Linked DNA regions of Drosophila melanogaster. The protein of the gene in region 1 interacts with the protein of each later gene in a pairwise test. Each region holds a gene or a part of one and is shown in the gene's direction. Other genes may lie near its edges. The genes, in order: CG42359, Obp58d and CG10472.

Region 1 (7,279 bases):
AAAAAAGAAAAACACGAGAAAGAGAAGCCCAAAAAGCGTATAAATAAAATGGTATACACAAAAAACCTACACACAAAAAACGAATCAACGAAAATTAATTGAGCGCGAGCAGCTGAAAACAAAAGAGAGCAAAGAGCGAGCATAAACAAACGAACGAGCGAGCGAACAACAACAACAGCGCAACAACCGCAATCGGACTGCTCTCTCACTCTCTTTTGTTGGGGGCGACATGTGTGCGAAAAAAGAAGCGAATATTTGATGAGTACGAAAAAAGTGGAAGATAAAAAGACATCGACACACAAACACAAATGAAAAAAAAACCGCCACCAAATGAATGGGAACGAGCATAAAAAGTCAAACAAGCGACTAAACGGAATGGTCAAGTAGTGCGGCACGACTGCAAAACGCTTTTGAAATTATTCTGGTTTAATTATTTGTTGACAGTCGCATTCGGCTTACAAATGTTTGGAGTTTAAAGGTTTTGACTTATTCCCCAAATAGCGAAGATTCGGAAATAAGGAAACAATAAGTATTTGACCAATGGAACACTGGACAAACACTTTGGAAATTGTGCTATTATTTTTTTTTTATAAAATAGGATATAGAGTCCTAACCAATAAATAAATTGTAATTCATTTGCTTTATATAAGTTTTTACATTAGGTAATTTTCAAGTAGCAATTAATATATAAAGGATATGCATATTAAATCGTTATAATTTTGTAATAGTAATAACTGTAAACGCTTTCATGTTATTTAACAAGGAAATCGCAAACTTTAAATCATTTTTGCAACATTTTTAAAAAAATAATGTCCTATAATCTTTTATGTTTTTCTCATAATAACACGTCAACTAATCATCGATTCGCAAAAAACCCCTCTTTCGAACAGTAAATATTTTGTTAAAAATGTGAATTTTACGGCGATCGTTTTCAAGTCTCACAATTATAACAAAAGCGACCACTGTGCGTGAGCGCGGGAAAGAGAAACAAACACCGCAATCGCAAGTGTGTTTGACCAATAAGGCAAATAAATAAAACATGCTCGTGCAGCGCAAAGTACTTACCAATTTGAAAGTGCCTTTTGTGTTCCGGCGTTCGGGTCTCGGATGCAGTCGCGGCCCCCTTTTTTATGTTTGTGGGCCAACTTTTGTTGATATTTTGGAGCACGTGTTCGCCGACTGATTGTGGGTGGGAGCCCGCCTGGGAGCTTGCCTGTTTCGCACACTGACACACTCACACACACTGGCGCAGGTGATTTGTTTGTGGTCTGCGGCACTCTATTTTCGTACTTTTGTTTGTTTTTGGGCACCCCTTGCGATTGATTTATTTAGCGAAAATTAGCGAATTTAGTGGGGATTTGCGTAGTTTGCTACGTTCTGCTTTGCCGTCGGGCCTCTCTTTCGCACACAGAAGAGACTCTCGAGTGGCAACAAGAAAAAATGGCCGCGCACGCCAAAAATACACACACACACCAACGCACACACACGGCAAGCTTATGTTTTTTTTTGCTTTTTCTGCACTTGTGCTTTTTTGCCCTTCTTGTATCGGACTCCCGAAATATTAGTTTTTTCAGCGACCAACAACGATTAATTGCATTTACAACGAACACGTTGCGAGGGGGGCGTGGAGCTGGAGCAGTTGGGGGCGTAAGCTCCGCTCTTCGGTTGTTTACGTCGCGGCAAACGCAAAAAAACACCAACAGAAGCAGCAGAACAGGAGGAGCTAGAATAACTGTTCGTGTTCACGACCGTCGAAAAACTGACTGAAAAAAAATCACAGCGAAGAGCGTCTTTTTTCAGAAGTTGTTTTTCGCTCTCTTCTCTCTCCGCACAAACGCACACTAGTGAAAAAGGCTTGTTTATGTTTTTTATGTGTGCGCTCTCACTCTCTCGCGCTCTTTTTTGTTCCCGGCGCCACAGAGTTTTTTTTCGGTTTCGGGGAGGAGGCGTGCTCTTTTTTTCGAATACCAAATTTAATTGGGCCAAATTCTGGGGAGAGAAAAACAAAAAGAACATATAATATCCTGCATCCTTTCTGCAGTGCCATTGCCCTGACTTTTGGCGGTATTTTCTATTTTTGGGAATCTGAAATTACAATTTAAGCTTTTAGCGAATCCTAATCTAGGAAACAGCAATAGTGGTACATAAGGTCCTCCGTGCTGGACATGATGCACATCACCCGGAACAGTGGCACAAAGAGTTTATCCAAAATATTAGGATGTTCTCCTGGCTGTATTGAAAATTCCGTGCCACTGGATCTTCGCCTATGAGCTGTTGAACTTTGTTACCATTTTATAACTTACACTTACATATGTATATTATTATAATCTATTATATAATATCAATGTTATTGTAATTATATTATTTTGCGCGCTGAATTCATGCCTATGCGATTCTATTGTATAAATATATATGTATTTATATATATGCATTTGTTAATACTTCTGAAAAAGAAAATGAAGAACTTAAATATCCGTTACATATTATATAATATTATTGATAATATTATTATAAGAAAAATATGTCTTGAAGATCAAATTGAAGATAAGAATTTTAAAGTTCCGGAAACTGATAATTATTTTATAACTCCTCATAATTTTTAAGGTTTTTTTTTTTACAAAATCAAAACATTTTTTGTTGTTTACCCTTGAAATATTTCTTTATTCACATTTTCTACATTAAAGTGCTGCGCCAAATATAAAATTTGAGCCTCCAAAAGAATTAAAAAATTTAACTTAAAAATAAAAAATATTAATTTATGTATATTTGAAATTAAGCAGCAGTCAAAGTTATTTTAGTAGTTTATTGATGTTTAGTGGGCTAAGATTGTTCCTGAGGGGAGTTCCGCTGTGCACCACAATGGACTGAAATGAATATTCCCGGATTCCTTCTTCATTTCCGCCAGCGGTTAAAACCTGCAAAGTGACAGTGTGTCAGTTTTAATAACTAAAAAGAAAGTGCAAGTATCTACCGATTCATTTACATGGATATCAGTCGTGATTTTCGAGGAGACTCTTTTCTGAAAGTCGAATTGAAAGCGTTAAAAGCCAATACAAAAGTTTCCGGGTGCTGGCTGATGGACTCAACGTCTGTTCTTCGCACCAAGGACATTGTAGGATGCGATCCTCAGCCTTGATATCGTCTATCAACTCCTGGGCAAACATAGAAAGGTACGTTTCCTTAAAGTCCTTAAAGAATAGCGTGCTTCATTTTAATATTTTTTAATTAAAGCAGCCGTACAGACCCCAAAACAAACGACACACCAGAAACAAATTGGAAAAAACTTGATTTAATTCCAATTTACCAACTTATGCACGATAAATAAAAGCATGATTCTAAATTTTGGTAAACCTCCAAGAACGCGCACACTTTGACATTTTAAACTGCGGCTTTATCGCGCCAAAATTTTTAACCATGAAAATATTCTTGTGTTGGCAATGCTTGAAGTACAGTAATTTTTGCTCGCAACGTATGGCCACACTGCCAATTTATTTGTAAATTTGATACCCTGTATGTAAATATATTGGATAGAACATATATGTTTTGTAGTTATCGTTGGCAAAATTAGAACAACCTTTACATTAATTGTAGATATTTTCAAAACATGAATAACAATATGATTTGTTTCAAACGCCACATGCTTATCTCCAGCCCTGACATTCGATAAGCATATATCGATAAAGTCGTGATTGGGGTTGCACCTATTCTAGCGCAAACAACACATACACGTGCACGTGACGACAATGAGTAAAAAACCGCATTCCATAAAAGTTCCCACCCAATACAGGGCGACTGCCAAGATTTTGAAGGCGGCACTGGAGCAGCAGAAGTGCATCAAGACCCTAATATTTGCAGAGAAGCATGCCGTAAGTGGATTGGACCTCTCGTCCGCAGATCAAACCAATATGCGTATAACTTTTCCCTCTCGCACTTCACTTGTAGCGTACACGCTCTTTGCATACGGTTCTGAAAAAATTTAGCGAAAATCGTGTGGCACTGGAAAAGGCCATCGAAGAGACAGGACTGCTCAGGGACAATCCCAGTTTTGATCCCAGTTTGGCCAAGATTCTAGTCACCGAACTGCTGTTTGGCAGGAAGGAGCTGAACGGCGAAAGCAAACCCGTGCAAACGGTGCGAAGTTACAAGGATCGACTGCTAAATTCCATCAGAGATTTCGGTGTCCAGCGAAAAGGCAGGTTATCACACCGATTACCAGTATTAGCCGGCTGAGATGGGCAAGAAGAACAGGAAACAACAGCATGTCGATGTGGTGCCAGCTACCACTGATGATTCCCCGGCTGTCATTGATTCTCCCGTGGAGCATCATACGCAGCAGGAGGACACCAGTGCGGAGGTCTTCCTCTGGCTGTTGGCCTACAGTGTGCTCATGTTCACGCTGCCCTTCTTGGGCTTCTATGGCGTCCGCAGCTGGCTGCAGGAGTCCTTCCCCCATTTGGACCTTTTCACGGTCAACTGTTGGTCAGTTCTCACGGCTGTTGTGGTTGTTAACCTCGTGGTGGCCATGTATGTATTAAAGGCTTTCCGCGAGAAGCCCCCACCACCCTTGGAACCCGTGCAGCAGGATGAGGACGACGAGCCGGAAGCTGCGGAGCCAAAGAAAGAACAGTAACTTAAGTGCTGCCAGCCAAGTCCAGATTATTTCGATCGTTTAAAGGACCAGTAACGACTCTTAACAACTCTTAATAAATCTTACTTTGGCTACAATTTTGAACTCGTCTTTTTGTTTGCCCACACAGAACCCAATCCTCGATATGTGCGCATCAACACAAATCTATACAGCTTGGCGGAGGCCTTGGACTACCTGCATAAAAGCGACTGGCGGCGCAAGGAGCTGCCTGCGGACGCCAGCTATGCGGATTTTCTGACTGCCATCAAATCGCTGGCGGAGAACGAGTTCATGACCGATCTGCACGTTGAGGGTGTGCTCATTTTTCCTGCCAAGTGGTCCAACTACTGGGTCCGCCATCCGTTGGTGCACAGCAAGAGGTTTATACTGCAGAACAAGGCCACCTGTTTGGCCGCCGAACTACTTGCTCCGCCGTCTGGGGCCACTGTGCTGGATATGTGCGCAGCTCCCGGTATGAAGACAGTGCACATATGCAATGTGATGCAGAACAAGGGATGCATCTACTCCGTGGAGCAGGACCACGTACGCTACAATACGCTGTGCGAAATAACAAAGGATGCTGGTTGCGATATTGTAAAACCCATTTTGGGAGACGCCTTGAACCTAAGTGAGTTTTATATTTATATATTTCACAATGAATATTTAAAAAAGTAACACGTTTGAATTTCAGCACCCGAACGCTTTCCGGACGTAGAGTACATCCTGGTGGACCCTAGTTGCTCTGGCAGCGGAATGCAAAACCGCATGACCGTGTGCGACGAGCCGAAGGAGGACAAGCGGCTGCAAAAGCTGCAGGGTTTGCAAATTAAGATCCTGTCGCACGCGATGGGCGCCTTTCCGAACGTCAAACGCATTGCCTACTGCACGTGTTCGCTGTGGAAGGAGGAAAACGAGCAGGTGGTGCAGCGTTGTCTTCAGCTAAATCCATCCTTCAAGCTGCTCAGCTGCAAGAAGGCCTTGCGCAACAAGTGGCACAATGTGGGCGACAAGGACTATCCCAATATTGGCAAGAACGTCCTGTATTGCCAGCCGGACAGTGATCTTACCGATGGCATCTTCCTGGCCCTTTTCGAGAAACGCCGCGAGGGCGAAAAGGATTAGTTGTTTCAAACGCAAGAAGGACATTTGTTTCCTTAAATTGTAACCATTTCTTTATTTGGCACTCGAGCCATTGAATTTTTCATTTTCAGAATATGTGTACACATTTTTTAAAAAAATAAAAAAATTATATAATGCTGGCGGTTGTTTCATGTGTGAAAAATTGATCAATGGTAAACAAAATTGAATAAATATATAACATATATATATATATATATATATATATATATATATATATATATAGATATGTGTGTTGAAATGAATACTTGCGATACATGTAATAAAAATACTCTTCGCTTATCTATCAAAAAGTGCGGAATGTCAAAATTTAAAATTTTACAATGAATGCGTAGCCGACGACGAAAGTGTTCCTTGCTATTTCCTTTAGCAAGATTTAAATTTAGATTAAATTCTAATGATACGATTGACAGTTCGAAATTCAAAGTGTTCCTTTTTCAAAATTTAGTAAAGATTGTAGATCAATTGTAGATATATCGAAATTTTTCGGCCGCAAGCGAACATTTTACGAAATGAAGGCGACCAGTTGCAGACCAATTCCATTCATCAACTTTCGGATTGTAAGATATTTCTATCGGCCACGACGATTGAACAAGTATTACGATATTGTAAGTCTTCTTTAACAAAATTAGTTTCCCTTTCACAGAAACAGACATAAATTCTTGAATTATTGACTTGGATTTGAGTGATCGTTCGTTGTCTATACTATAAGATCTATAGGCACGGGATAACGCTCTAAATCTCTTTAAAATCGAACGCGCCAGGCGCTATTTAAACGTTACTATCTATCTATCTGGTTAACCCAGCTTTGATCGGAATGCGTATATATATTTCATGTTATATAAACGCTGCAAAAGCTGCCAGAGCCTCTGCTCCAGAGCTGGATTCGCCCTCTCTAAACCTTCATCTGTTGCTTGTAGTAACTGCTCTTGGCTAGGCGGAACGATTCCGCCTTGATCGCATCCTCCATGGTGATGATCGGCTTCTTGGGGCAGTACTTAATCGTGTGCGCCGAGTCCCCAGATGCCCCGCAGATGGGGCACACGTAGGTGCGTAGTTTGGGGCACAGCACTCGGTTAAAGTTATCTCGCACTGAGTGGCTATTGATAACCGCCTCTGGTTCGTTGTTATTCTCACAAAAGACGCAGTGGCGGCTGATCTGTTGGAGAAACAAGATAACAAATATATTTTGCAAGTTTTAATTCTGCGAATCCTGGATCAGATCCACTCACCTCTTTGGCCTTGCTGTTGTAACGCTTGTACACCTTGTTGTTGTTGTTATTATTGTTACTGGAATTGGAAGCTCCGCGCAGCTGTTCGCCCTGCACGGGCAATCCCAGACCCATTCCCACGCCGAGATTGGTGGACACAGTGGCCGCTGTTTGGGCCTGCAAACCCATTGTATTGGGAGCGGCTGGTATATACGACATGTTTCGCCACACGTTGTTCAGATGCTCCCGGTAGTTGTTCAGCCAGTGGGTGGCGAGTGGAATGGGCATTAAGTTGCCGCCATTG
Region 2 (7,076 bases), on another chromosome or scaffold:
CTCGCAGCGGTCCAAGAAACGCTCGTGGTTGTCCCGGATCCCGCCATCGGTGTTCTCCTCCAGCTGATAGAAGACGCACTCCAGTTGCTGCTGCTTCTGGGCATGCATCTCCTTGAACGCGGCGGAGTCCTGCTCCCACTGGCTCAGCACCGCCTGCTTGTCGTCCTCGTAGATCGTCCGAAAGAACTCGATGCGATCTCTATGGGTATCTGGGTAAAGGATAAGAAATAAATGGGTTAGAAATGAGGCCTAGTTGCGTTGAATGGTTTGTGTCCATTTTAATTTTCATTTTACAATGCTTCTTATTGTTCATAAAATGTACATCAAAATACTCCAGTAATTTTTGGATTTCCAAATATTTCAATGTTCTTATTAACGAAAGCATTAATATACATGTGAAATCCATTCCATTCATTTTAAGTATCTTTAAACATATTGCTGTAGCTGTGTATTTAGTTTCTGATTAAAATGTTATTTTTAAGGATGTTATCCCAATCGTACCAACTATCCTGGTGATATTCTCCATGTGTGACTGCTGCAGATTGGCGTACATATCCTCGGTGGATTCTATGTGAGCAATGAGGCGATGGATCACCTGGTCCTTGCGCTTAAGTGCCTCCTGAAAGAAAGACTCCACATCGACGATTTCGCGGCGCAGCTCCTGGATTTTCACCTGGCGCAAAATGCTCCGCCACTCCTGGTTGATTTTAGCCATATTGAGTCGACCAAAAGCATCCTCTCTTTTCAGTTTGTTCTATTTTAATGGGAAAAGTCATACCATAGGGATTTTGATTTTGATTTACTGCAAATTCGTGGTGTGTTACCTTCATGTACATGGAAATGAGCTGCATTTTCCGCCGCCTCGTCTCTTCCTCCATGTCGGCCCTCATTTGCAAATACCTGGCCCGCTCCTCCTCGGACATGTTGGCCAATTTGTTGCCTTTTCCTTTACCCTTTTTGCCCATGATTTAGTTTTTTTTTTTTACGGCTACCAAAAATCAGCTTATCAAATTTCAAAGGCCAATCTCTGACTAATTAGGCGAGCAAAGAGCCGCCTTGGAAAATAAATAATAAATTGACTGCCGGCGTTGCCATGACAAGATTCACTAGCCCACCCACTCCATATAATTTCGCTTTTCGTCGCCAGGTTTGTTGCCATAATAATGGATGCGAATTAAATTAATGCGAAACAGTGGAAAACGCCATTAGGGCTGTCCATCAAAGGGGAACCATTTGACATATAAAACTGAGGACGAACCGCTGGAAAGCTGTCATCATGCTGAGAATTGGTTTCGTGATTTGTGTGATTATATCACTGCGCTTGGTACGTACTCATAACACCGTTTTCAATTTGTTCTGGATTGGATAATGTTCGAGGGTGTTTTTAATGGATTATCCACACTAGATCGGATTTATTGTACATAATAATTTTGAAAGTTCAAGGTCCATCGGGGATCCGTATTCGAGCTACTTTTTAATCCTTTAATATGTGCATATTTCTATGCAGAATGGACTCGTGGCTGTCCGAGTTCATTGCCGGCACATGGAGCGTATTCACGAGGAGAACATCCACCATTGCTGCAAACATCAGGATGGCCACGACGATGTCACGGAATCTTGCGCCAAGCAGACCAACTTTCGTTTGCCCAGTCCCAATGAGGAGGCCATCGTGGATGTGACCGTGGACCAGGCGATGGTTGGAACCTGCTGGGCCAAGTGCGTCTTCGATCACTACAATCTGATGGAGAACAACACACTGGATATGGACAAGGTGCGCTCGTACTACAAGCGGTACCATCAAACAGATCCGGAGTACGCGACTGAAATGCTGAATGCCTACGAAAAATGTCACACACAATGTGAGCTCATGCAAAATAACCATCAACATAGTTTAAAATTGAATTTTTCCATTCCAAATTTTAGCTGAAGAGGCCACCGAAAAGTTCCTATCACTTCCAATTGTTAGGGCCTTCTCCACCGCCAAGTTCTGTAAGCCGACCTCGAGTATCATCATGTCCTGCGTCATCTACAACTTCTTCCACAATTGTCCAGCGAGTCGCTGGTCAAATACCACCGAGTGCGTGGAAACCTTGGCCTTTGCTAGGAAGTGCAAGGATGTGCTGACTACTATGTAAGCACTTTAGAGTCCTGCCTCAGGAAATACATTTTAATTGGGAAAACGAAATGATTTTCCAATGATTAAAGCAAAACAATGGCTCTCAATTCATGTGCTCTTTTGGTTTATAAGTAATGGTGGGTGATTGAATGCCAACTCAGCAATACATTTAATTAAATGGATTTATTGTTATCAAATCACTTGCAAAAATACGATATTAACTAATGTCAAGTTGATCGTATTTGTTTACCATTACATCCCTATAAAAAAAAAAACATCCAAATATACAGAATAATTCTGAATGCATAACATTTTTTCATCTAAACAAAATAATTCGAATGTCGTAAATCGTAAATTTAATGTTCTTTATTGCAGAAGAATGATATTCTCATTATTCACAAAGTAGCCAGCGAGTCCTGGCACTTCTTGCTGAAGGCCAGGGTATCCTCGCACTCCTTGGTCTTCGACCAGCGATCCGCCGGGCAGTTGTGGAAGAACTGGCGGATGACACAGGCCAGGACGACACTAGACTTCGGATCGCAGAATTGCTTGGACATTTGCTTGAAGAGGGGCTTCGACAGGAACATGGAGGTATTCTCTTCGCCTTTTGGTGAAAAAAATATCAGTTAGCCAAGAAGTTCTTGCTGAAATAACAACTCTGTACTTTTGCCGTGACAATGATCAAAGGCGTTGATCATTTCCTTGGCATATTCCGGATCGTCGGGAAACCTTTCAGTGAACAAACTTCTCACGGCATCCATGTCCAGGTTGTTGTCCTTCATCAGGTTCAGTTTGCTAAAGACGCATTTGCCAAAACAAGTGCCTCGGATGGCTCGGTCCGCCGTGATGTCCACCAGTGCCTCCTCGTTTTGATTGGGCAGCGTAAAATTGGTCTCCCTGGCACATCCTTCGATTAGATCATTGTGTCCATCGGGATGCTTGCAGCAATAGTGGATGTGGTCCTCGTTAATGGCCTCCGTATTCTCGCAATCAATTTTAATTCCACCAGCAAACTAAGTCATGTATTTGAATATATATAAACAGTGTGAATTTCATTCCTCGAACTCACCCAAATCAGGCTGAAAAAACTCAATAAAATGGTGCACTTCATTGCTCCGCCGTTTATACCAAAATCAGCCCACTACGACAGCTTATATAGTCACCCACATATCGTTTAAATAAAAACAGGAAACCGCTGCCAATTTGCCAAATGTCGAGCCATCAGACTGTCTGCAAATGTTTCTTTATCCGCTCATTTAATTCCAGTCATTACAATGGACATTTGTTACATTTAATTAAGCAATCCAATTTGGGTTTAAATTCATTTATCCAAAATGATGAGCACGCATGGTTTTATAAATGTTATGACCATGGTAAATTAATCACATTCGAAAAGCAATGGTCAACATTGTTTGTTATTGGACGTTCCTAATTCTGGTGGCCGTTTCAAAGGCTCAGGATAATGAGGAAACTACTGCAGTTGCCATATCTTCAGGTGACTTGACTGAGGATAAGTGTAACACATCGGTGAGCTTACTTTAAAACCGAACAGCAAACGTATTAAGTCTAAAAATTCAATTTAGAGGGCTGGCTGCTGTTCTGAACTTTATATAGGAGAAGAGGAGGACCTGGTCAAGTGCTTCGTTATACACTCACCCAAGTTGCCAGTGGATGGGGACGCTGACATCGGCAAGACACTGAGGTTTCTATCGGTAGGTAATTAAAGCTTTATATATCTATTATAACGAAAATATTTGTATCTTCAGTGCTTTGTGGAGTGCCTGTACAAGCAAAAGAAGTACATTGGTAAGAGCGACACCATCAACATGAAGATGGTCAAGCTGGATGCAGAAAAGACATTTGTGGATCGGCCCAAGGAGAAGGATTATCACATTGCCATGTTCGAGTTCTGTCGCAAGGATGCTGTTGGGGTCTACAACCTTTTAAAGGCCAGTCCTGGGGCTAAGGTGCTCCTGAAAGGAGCCTGTCGCCCCTATCTATTGATGGTATTCATGTGCATCAGTGACTATCATCAGAAGCACGAGTGTCCCTACTTCCGGTGGGAGGGCACTGCCAAGGCAGGAACTAAGGATATGTGCGAAAATGCCAAAGCCGAATGCTACCAAATAGATGGAATTACACTGCCCACAAAGAGTCCTGCCTAAGAATACGTATTAAAAAAACTCAAAAATGTCATGTAATAAAATTAAGCTTATAAACGCAGTATGTTTTTTAGTTTTAATCACACACCACACACATAAATTATTCGCACTGATGAATCAGTTTCAGATTCGCTTGGCTCAAGCGGGAGACCAGGATGGGCTCAACAAGCTGATTCGATCGCCAGGTGTCAAGTGGTTCGGCAATATCCGTCCGAAATTTCGTGGCAAGGACTCCCTGTTCAATTCCTATCAGACCTACAGGATATTGGCTTTTTGCACTGAATCCTCCGCATTGGTGGCCTATGCCGAGTTCCGTAACTATCCCTCCATTGCCGCTTTGCCCACGGATTGCTGGTTGGAATGGTTGTCCACCAGATACTGGTACTGATACAAGGACTTAAAACGTTGAATATATCATCTATTTCCGATATATCCTTTAGCCTATCCATGTCCATTAGCTGGCTGAATGCGTTGTTTTTCAACTTTTGCGTCTACAAGAGCGATCAGTCCCCGGTTCTGGTTGAGATCATAAAGGATGTGCTCTACAGGGAGAGCAGGGTGTGGTTTCTGATCACTGTTAGGTGTCCGTATGTGCCACAACCCATCCACTTTGTGGAAACCTTCGATGATTTGGAAAAAATATCCCAGGTCTTTTACCCGCTGGAATATAGCATGGATAAGAATAACAACACACAGTCCCTGTACATTGTGGATAGGTTCGTAATTCTGCCGAGGATTACTTACCGGAAGGCACTGTAAGCTCTGTTCTTTGTGCTCCTTGTTCAAATTGTATACTATATCAGAAATAGCATTTGAAATTTTAAATTCAAATGCCTCTTAAAAAGCAGCAGACTACTAATCAGTTTGTCTGAAATCGATATCGCCTACTAAGATATTGTTAGATATTGTTAGGCATTTGAAGAAACTGTTTCAATAACATTCTTGTTTTGTTTTAAATATTTCCCATGAAGGGCCGAAGATAACGACGATATTATAGCAATGCAAGAGGTCGAGAACCCAGAAATGCGAGAGGAGCTGGGCGACTACTACATTGCCGAGGAGGTAATGGGACAGAATCCGAAGAGTATGCTTGTTGTGGCCGAAACAATCAATCAGTCGCAGGAGTCAGAAATGGCCATCTTTCTGTGGCTGTCCTCGGATATAGACATTATGTTCTATGTGCGCAACTACGAGATGGAACAATTTGGCAATCTGGTGAAGCCAGCGGATGGAAGGTCCTTCCACTACGAGACGATGACGGTGTCGTAAGTGATGGCTTTACGTGCGGAAAGAGTAATTCCTTACCGACTGTCCTGCAGATCGGTACAGCGAAGAGCGGAGGCTAGCATGTTCACCGCAGATGCCCTCGACGATCTGAATGCGGTGACGATTCTGGGAGGACTGCAAAAGGTTGACAGCGGTATGAGGTGTGATTATTTATTAATTTGTAAGGCAAATATCCACAATGATTTATATTTCTCAACAGCGTGGCCAGCCTGGGTAAGATGAAGGTCAGCTCCATTGGCGGCACAATTGTGGATACAAATGTGGCGAATGAAAATAAGTTCTACATGCGCGAATGTCTGTACTCCAAGTTCAAGTACATTCTTGAGAGTGAGTTGTACTGCGAATGCCGGATGCTCCGTTCATAACATGGGTTTATCTAGAACTCCACAGCACCGATTACTATCTGCGGCACGAACAAAGCGTGATTAATTTTATATATCCGGCCGGAACGGAGCCCGCAGGTCCGGCGGCCATGGCGGCGGCATCAAACGTTTTCCTTCTCAGGTGCATTGTGGCACGACAGGATTTCCCACTGCCACGCCTCTTCAACGCAATGGTGGCCATTTTCAGCGCCTATCCGGACAGGGATTACTGCATGATGCTGATGTCGGTGAAGTACAAGGCGAGCAAGAGCTATCTGGAGGTGATGCAGTACTTTATGGTAGGCCAGACTTAGTTTAAGTCAACGAAATAGTTTAAAATAGTTCATACACCAGCCAGTCGCATCACGGCCAAGTAATCTGTCCAGCCTGGACGATGTATTCATAACACATCGCAGCACCATCTTTGGGGAGATTAGTCTGTACAAACTGGAAAAGGAGGACGTGGCACATGTGCACAAGTTGGCACTTGGGAACTTGCCCAGTAACACACAAACTCCTAATTCAAGCAGCAGCAGCTTCTCGTACTGCTCCAAGGTAAACGAGCGGGAGGAGCTGGAGCACGAGCTCCATGTGCTCGATGCGATCATGAAGGATGTGCTGGAGAATGAGTTTAGTGAGTTCGCCGTGTTCACGATTCGGTGTGGGATCTCTACGAGATCTGTTAGGGAAAACACTGCGATTGGTTTTGTGATTGTGCGAGAATTTCACAGTCATGAAAAACTCTTTGAACACTACCACCTTCCCAAGCAAGAATATCAGTTGAATCGACGAAGGGCAGAGATCATATCACTGCGTTTGCATCCTCTTTTCTTGGTTAGTGCCGGTCTGATATTTAGGGATTTGGCCAGGAAGACAAGCTTTTACGATTATTATTTCATTCATTCTGTCGACGTAAGTGAATAGTGCGCTAGAAATTTACTTTTGATAAAATTACTCTTTAGGGCTATAAGTACAGCAACGACTTGAAAAAGATGATGATGGTCGTAGAGCCGAAGCCCATTAAAAAGGTTCCGGTATTTACTAGGGTCCAGGCGAATCATAAAAAACCGAGGAAAAAGCTGGATCTACCACCGCCAAACTTCTCTAGGGATAATTTGATCATCTATCGCCACAAACTCAATCCGGTTA
Region 3 (7,337 bases), on another chromosome or scaffold:
GTTTCCGTTTCAAATCTGCAACTGACTGAGCACGCGCGCCAAATGCCGTTTTTATATGAGCCCGGCCAAGAAGCTCGGCTTTGGGGGTTTGGGGTTTGCGGATTGCGGATTGGGGCTTGGGGCTTGAGACGCTGCACTTGCTGCCAAGAACAAGAAACCGCCGGCAGCGAAAGTTTAGCAGCTGAGCAGCTGTTTGTTTGGTTCACACAGCTGGCAAACCGGTTCGTTTCGTATCGGATCGGATCGGTATTCTGAATCGGCTGTGAATCGGCTGGGGATACAGAACGCAGGCGAGCCCCAAACGATCATATCGGATGCCTGATCTTATGGCGGCATTTTGTGTTAAGAGCTCTTGGCTGCTTATTTTTAAGCCTGCCGAACGATCCATGACTCCCAGAAGTTCGGAAGGTGCCCGTGCACATCTTTTGGGCCCAGCTGGGTCCAGATTTTTATTAATAACCCCCACAAGTGGTAGAATGCACGTGATTCATGCCAAAGCCACTCGGCGAGATTGAGGAACTAAGCAAAAAGTATTTGTTATTTGTTATATTTATAAATACGTCACGGGCCATTCATAAATTGAGCAGCGAGGGTAGTAAACTCCACAATGGATAAAGCCATCTAACAAAACGAGTTAGAGTCCGTCGATCGAGGAAGGTGGGGGGGATTAGCCTTCAAAGACATGACGGCAATTTATTTAAGCTTAACAGTTCATTGTTGCAATTGCTATTGTTATCATGTGATTATTCAATAATTTATATTTCCATTAAAGTTATTTTTATTATTGTACGTCTTTTAGTAGTTTACCCTACTTATTAACATATTTACTTGATATTTATTTGTGAATAGCTTGAAAAACAAGTATTAACAAGACGTTTTACTTTGTAGAAACAATCTAGTTTATACTCAAATAATATTTAAAGTTTGTTTTTTAATTAACAGCTTTGTAATACGAATTTCATCATTTGCTGATATTAGGATAGTACTTTTCCATTGCGAATTCATATTTGTTTTTGGAAAATTTCTATAATTTTTGGGTTCGATATATATTTGTATTGATTAACATCTATATAATAGAATATGAATGCAGAGCTTAAATAATAGCGTAGTGCATCAAAAAATTAAATTCTAATACGTATTTCACAATGGTTTGAAAAAAAAAAAAAACAATTAACAGTGTAAATTACTTTTCCGCTAAGACATTTTGGTTTTTTTTATTAATTAACATATATATTTTAAATGATTAGATAAACATTCTTCCTATGTCGAGAAAACTCCTTGTGATTTTAATCAAACGAATTTCACATAAGTGCGAAAAATTCTTCAAACTCATAACATTTTCCAGTAAAAGTATTTTCTTATTTACGATTGTAACTTATCTTATTTATTATCGTCTTCGTCTTATTAGGACTACTTGTTCCTCCTTCCTAAACTGGCAATCATCATTATTCCTTTTCGAGACACACTTTTGAAAGATTTACACATCAAATTAATTTTGAACGCGTTCGATTTGAATTCTGCATATGATTGTTGTGTTTCTGTGTAAGAGTGCGTGCATGCAATTAGACGGATACATATATTTCATTCAGAGCTTAACTGTTAAATTAATATTTGGATGTGTTTATGCCTTTTTATCTTATTTATTTACAAATTTCGTGTTTTCAATTTAAGATATTTAAGATGTTACACACCGGGGGCGGCGGCGCATGTATGCATTTTTATTAATTATGAAGTCGCACCCATATCAAATAATTTCGCTTCTCATTACAACTGCACTCGAAAATATTGTTCTCTTGACCGCTGCTGCTTTAAACCAGTTTAATCCCGCCTTATAAATTACATTATTATTATACACTTGCTAAGTGTATGTAACATAAATAAGATTAGACATTTGCCATGCATTTGAATTAAGATATTTTTATCATGTGGGGATATGTGGATCATCAATGAAATTGGATCAACAGCCGTTGAAGTTCAGCGGTTTCAGAGTTTGATGATTTAAATTTAATCATAGTTTTGTTTGTTCACACTAGATATACATCGTAAAGTTATTCTCCTCTGATGGTTGGACTTTATGAACATCCTAGTGTATTTAAGTGTTCGACCCTCTGAAACGAGCTTCACACCCAGTTTGATTTGGATTCAGTTGGCTATGTGTTTTTTGTTACAGTTTAAAAGTTTGCTACGCATTTAATGTTTTAATTAGCTCTGCTGTGGTGGGCCTGCTTCAAGGACTTTTGCCATTTATTATTGCCAATTTGCTAAATGTATCTATCAACGATTGTTGCGAAGCTAATAGAACGGCTATGTTTTAGATTTATAACGAGATAGTGTCATATGGGTAATTCGGTTTTATGTGTGCCTGCCTACCTGGGCACTTGACAGGTGTCGTTTGAGCTGTATAATTTTTAGAAAGCTGTGCTAATTAAATGGGTAAATCTGTCCTTCTATGGGAAACGGTACGGGGGTTCTCTGTGGCTCTTCTCTGTGAACTTGTGGCCAGTTAGACTTCGTCTCGGCCAGATTATTGTGACTGACGGCTTTTGTTTGGGCCCGCTCAACTTTAAGACGACCTTCAATTGAGCAAACAAAAATTGTTGCATTAAATCCATTTCCGTTTTGATTCATGTCTCGCTTAGTTCTCCGCTTTTGTTTCAGCTGTTTTGTTTTTTTACTTATTTTATTTCCATTTGATTCCATAAGTATCATGCTTTAATTAAGTTTGGAAGTTGTTTTGAAAATACCGAACCTTTTAATTGAATTGAGGGAAGTGCATCGGCTGTTATGACATCATAATGAGTCGGCAGGAAGTTCACACGTACGATCGGACTGTTTACTCATATCATAGGCACATCGCAGTTTAAACTGGTAGAATTATGAATGTGGGCACTATGGGTTATGCAATTAAATCACAAAACCCCTTTGCTAATCGATGTCGGCGGTTTTGCTATCGCCGCCAATACAAGTGTTACAGATAAGCTCTAGCAAAGATAATACAATTACATTATCAAAAGAATATAACATTCCAAAGGTGATTTGCTTTGTTCTAGTAAAATATTCTATTTAAGAAATTATTATTATAAGTCTTAGGTCAACATAATACTAGTTTCAGAAAACCTTTAATATACCATCGTTAAATGGTTAATTACCTTTGGTTTGTCATCACTGCAATAGATAAGCCTACTACGAACTGATTAATCTGCTCATGATTGGGTTTTATTGCCAATATAGGCCAAATCGATTCACACTTCTTGGTTTGCTTGCCCTGCTTATCACTTGGAATATCGGTAGCATCGGCTCTATCAGTAGTGGCAAATAGACGATTATAAATCACCTCGGTTAACTACAGCCGGGTTAATTCACCAAAGATTATCAATGAATTACGATACCCACGCTCCTTTTAAAATCCGTATAAAAGTGCCCGAGTTCTTGGCCAACACTTTAGTTGTGATCAAAATGAAATTCGCCTGCGCTACGGTTCTGCTCTTGGCCACCATTCTTGGGGCCCAGGCTGTGGACTGGAATTCGGTCAAGAACCTGAACATCGAGACCCCGATGCCCAAGGTCCATGGCGAGACCCTGCCCAGCGGTAGGATTACTGGAGGACAGATTGCCGAGCCCAACCAGTTCCCCTACCAGGTGGGACTACTGCTGTACATCACTGGAGGAGCTGCCTGGTGCGGAGGCACCATCATCAGTGACCGCTGGATCATCACCGCCGCCCATTGCACGGACAGCCTGACCACCGGAGTGGATGTCTACCTGGGCGCCCACGATCGCACCAACGCCAAGGAGGAGGGACAGCAGATCATCTTCGTGGAGACAAAGAATGTGATCGTGCACGAGGATTGGATCGCCGAGACCATCACCAACGACATTTCCCTGATCAAGTTGCCAGTGCCCATTGAGTTCAACAGTGAGTGCTTCGTTACTGGTTTTTATAGCAGAAATTCTCAATTATCTAATATACATTACAGAGTACATCCAGCCCGCTAAGCTGCCCGTGAAATCCGACAGCTACAGCACCTACGGCGGAGAGAATGCCATTGCCTCCGGATGGGGCAAGATCAGCGACTGTAAGTGACCCTTACACCCTTGAACTACAATTTTATAACTACTAGAGAAAGTTAAGCTCTTTTAACGTAACCAGCAAGTTTAGCACTCGAAAAATATGTAGTGAGAGTTAGGTTAGAGAGTTAGTTTAGGTCGTAGAATAGAGGCGAATGTATCTATCCTAACACTAAATATTAAATACTAAATACTAAGTAAAAGAAACCAAAATTATTCTAGAAAGTGACTAAAATTATCAGAAAATTCTATTTTTGGTATTTCGTTAATGCAATTTACGATCGAAAAAACCCAATTTCACGCTTTATTTTACCTTTGGATTAAAAGGCCACTTAAAATTTATTATCAAAATTCGATTTTTATGGACTCTTTTCTGCTTTTGTTGTTATTTCGCAACATTGTTTTTACACTTTATTTATAATCCTTTGTTAGTTTAGTATTCTATTATTAATTTTTTAATGAGTTTTTAATCTTCAAAAATGTTTTTAATCGTAGTTCCTATAAATATCTTAGAACTGTTCTAAACTATATTTCCTTACTTTCCACACAGCTGCTACCGGAGCGACCGACATTTTGCAGTACGCTACGGTTCCCATCATGAACAACAGCGGCTGCTCTCCCTGGTACTTCGGTCTGGTTGCCGCCAGCAACATTTGCATCAAGACCACCGGCGGAATTTCCACCTGCAACGGCGACTCCGGCGGTCCTTTGGTCCTGGATGACGGCAGCAACACCCTGATTGGAGCCACCTCCTTCGGCATTGCTCTCGGCTGCGAGGTGGGATGGCCCGGTGTCTTCACCCGTATCACCTACTACCTGGACTGGATCGAAGAGAAGAGTGGTGTGGTCAACAACGGCGACTAAGCGTTGATTTTGATCTTAAAATAAACGTTTATTTTTGGGTTACAAGAAATAGAACTCGTGTTCGGAATGCGGGCGTGACCGTGTTCGCGGTCTGACATTCTCGGAGATGTCCTCATCGGAAGCGGGTCTCGGATGCACATCTAGTTCGTCGGGCACATCGTCTTCCAACTGCTCCTCCGTTTCCAAGCGTCGGCTTTGACGTGGTTTCCCATATTCCCTCACATACTGGTCGAAAAATATTGCCTCCGTGGTATCCTGGTGGGCACTTACACCAGTTTCATCGCTGATCCAATCCAAATATGAGGCAACTTTGGTGAAGGCCGCCGGATAGCCTCGATCACAACCGTATATGCTGCCAAAGGATGTAATTCCCACCAGGACTCTCTTCTTCGAGTGCCTCCTTTGGAGAACCAAAGGTCCTCCCGAATCACCATTGCAAGTTGAACGGGCATTCCTTCCACTGGTGCATATATTTGTACCTCGATAGGATAGCGGGAAGTTGGATTTGCAAGTCCGTCCATCGATTATCTGCAGCTGGACGTAGCGCAGCACATTGCTGATCGCATGGACTCCGGTGGCATAACGACCCCAACCAGATGCGATGGCCAGTTTGTTTTTAAAACTGCGGTACTCGTAGTGCCTCTTCGGCAATTGAATGGGATGGATGCGCTCTAAAATTATGTATATTTCAGAGATAGGTAGTTCACTTTGTTAAGGACCAGAACTCACCATTAAAGCTGACGGCATGAGGGAGTCTTACTATAGCAATGTCATCCTTTAATCTCTTTGGATTCCAGGTAGGGTAGATTTGGAAGTTTTCGCTTGGCACCATCAGTCGAACTTGTCCCTTCTCCTTGGCGTTCTTGATCTCATTGGCGCCCAAGAAAACCAAGGCCCTCTTCGCCCTGCAAAATGTAGAACCTTAAGATGATTGGATCGTTAGTATTTCTTCTGGTCACTTACATGTCAACACAGTGAGCGGCGGTGATGACATGCTTATCAGAGATCAGTGAGCCACCACACCAGTAAAGACCCTTAGGTCTTTGAAGCAGCATTCCCACCTGGTAGGGAAAACAGTGGGGATTGCCCACATCACCGCCGAAGATGCGATCCATCGCCATTGCGCCCTCGGGTAACATCTTCTCCATTAGCGGCGTGGTCTCCAAGTTGAGAACCAGTGGCTCCCGATCGTCCTCTTCGCTCAAAGCGCTCATCTCCCTGCCCATTCCCAGCCCCTTTATGTGCCGATTGTCCACGTTGCTGGCACTCATTTCCGCATCGTGCTCCAGGGAACCGGAGGAGGAAAATGGGGAGGACGAGGAAGTGGAGAGACCCGCGGGGCCCGGGTACATGGACACCAGGTACATCGGCTTAACCTGCTGCCAGTCCAACGCGATGCACTGCATCGTTTGCCATGTCAGCCAAATGAGCAGCAGCAGCGTGGCACTTGCACTTGCAGATTGTTTGGACATTGGCTTGGTCGCTTTGTTCGCGCACGCATTTAATTTTTAATTGCGAGTGCAATTGCTGGCACTTGTGTTGATTCGACTGCTTTCACTGCTAACTGTATTTCCTTTGCATGGTTTCCTGTTCAGCTGAATGCGGGGATTCTAAAACTGCTTACAACCGGGGCCTTCAGCGTTTATAGGAATACTTAAGTACTACGGGAAACAACTTCTTTGAGCCTTGCTTTCGTACTAATTTTGGCGACTATTATGATGAGCTTTACTATTTGCTATTTAAATTTCTCAATTACTTAAATGAATTCTAAATTTATAAATTATAAACAATTAGATAATAAAAATCTGTTATCCTGGCCTGAATACTCTGCTTACAAATTTGAAAAACGTTTTTGGTATTGAAATTTAGATATTTCCCAATTTGTTGCGTGTCTGGTCAGTTTGTCTTAACAGCTTTATGTTTTCTTATTTCCCTATGAGTATATTTATGCATATATTTATTTCTTTTTATTTTAATTCCTTTAATAAAGCTTTTGGAGGCTTTAACCTTGGCACAGGTTTTCTCAAGGGATTTGAGGAGGTAAAACTAAAATGCCTTAAACTGCTTGCTATCCTGCTTCCTAAAAGTGCTGCTTGTTCCGTTCTATGCACTGCTTCATTGACCGTTGAAACTGCTTTTTTTTCGTCAGCTGGACTTCCTGACTTCCTTTGCTTCCTCTTGTAACCCACTTCCGCACCGCTTGCCTCCTGCCGCCACTCGTTCACCCACTGGTCACTTTTGTTTTCCCGTTTCGCAAAGCCGTTACGCTGGTTACTGGACACTTAACCGCTTTAAAAACCCCAGTTGAAATCGCAACGCGCGTCGTAACCTCCAGTCGCCAGTACTGCTTTCTTCGCGTCTATTTAGCCACTGCGCCGGCGCGCAGGTTGCAAGCATTTTTATAA

What was found.
Region 2: the proteins of CG42359 (region 1) and Obp58d interact in a two-hybrid assay, tested with the Drosophila melanogaster proteins (one large-scale study listed by BioGRID).
Region 3: the proteins of CG42359 (region 1) and CG10472 interact in a two-hybrid assay, tested with the Drosophila melanogaster proteins (one large-scale study listed by BioGRID).

What each region holds. Positions count from the first base shown.
Region 1 is NT_033777.3:19,158,703-19,165,981, reverse strand, and holds CG42359 (uncharacterized protein), read left to right. Parts: upstream 1-3,681; 5' UTR 3,682-3,743; coding exon of another isoform or gene 3,744-3,866; intron 3,867-3,942; coding exon of another isoform or gene 3,943-4,192; 5' UTR 4,193-4,231; coding exon 4,232-4,630; 3' UTR 4,631-4,723; downstream 4,724-7,279. Other genes in the region: Nsun5 (Nop2/Sun-like domain containing protein 5), read left to right, coding at 3,744-3,866, 3,943-4,192, 4,758-5,255, 5,319-5,749; nanos, read right to left, coding at 6,660-6,923, 6,997-7,279; CG11779 (uncharacterized protein), read left to right, coding at 6,277-6,372.
Region 2 is NT_033778.4:22,703,434-22,710,509, forward strand, and holds Obp58d (Odorant-binding protein 58d), read left to right. Parts: upstream 1-3,500; 5' UTR 3,501-3,514; coding exon 3,515-3,643; intron 3,644-3,699; coding exon 3,700-3,828; intron 3,829-3,882; coding exon 3,883-4,281; 3' UTR 4,282-4,339; downstream 4,340-7,076. Other genes in the region: CG30259 (uncharacterized protein), read right to left, coding at 1-209, 502-754, 825-965; Obp58b (Odorant-binding protein 58b), read left to right, coding at 1,277-1,324, 1,508-1,859, 1,924-2,135; Obp58c (Odorant-binding protein 58c), read right to left, coding at 2,512-2,720, 2,781-3,129, 3,186-3,227; CG30275 (uncharacterized protein), read left to right, coding at 4,391-4,659, 4,719-5,033, 5,250-5,543, 5,598-5,705, 5,765-5,892, 5,946-6,226, 6,282-6,839, 6,890-7,076.
Region 3 is NT_037436.4:6,059,013-6,066,349, reverse strand, and holds CG10472 (uncharacterized protein), read left to right. Parts: upstream 1-3,439; 5' UTR 3,440-3,456; coding exon 3,457-3,916; intron 3,917-3,977; coding exon 3,978-4,076; intron 4,077-4,618; coding exon 4,619-4,932; 3' UTR 4,933-4,971; downstream 4,972-7,337. Other genes in the region: CG6592 (uncharacterized protein), read right to left, coding at 4,972-5,603, 5,662-5,837, 5,896-6,404.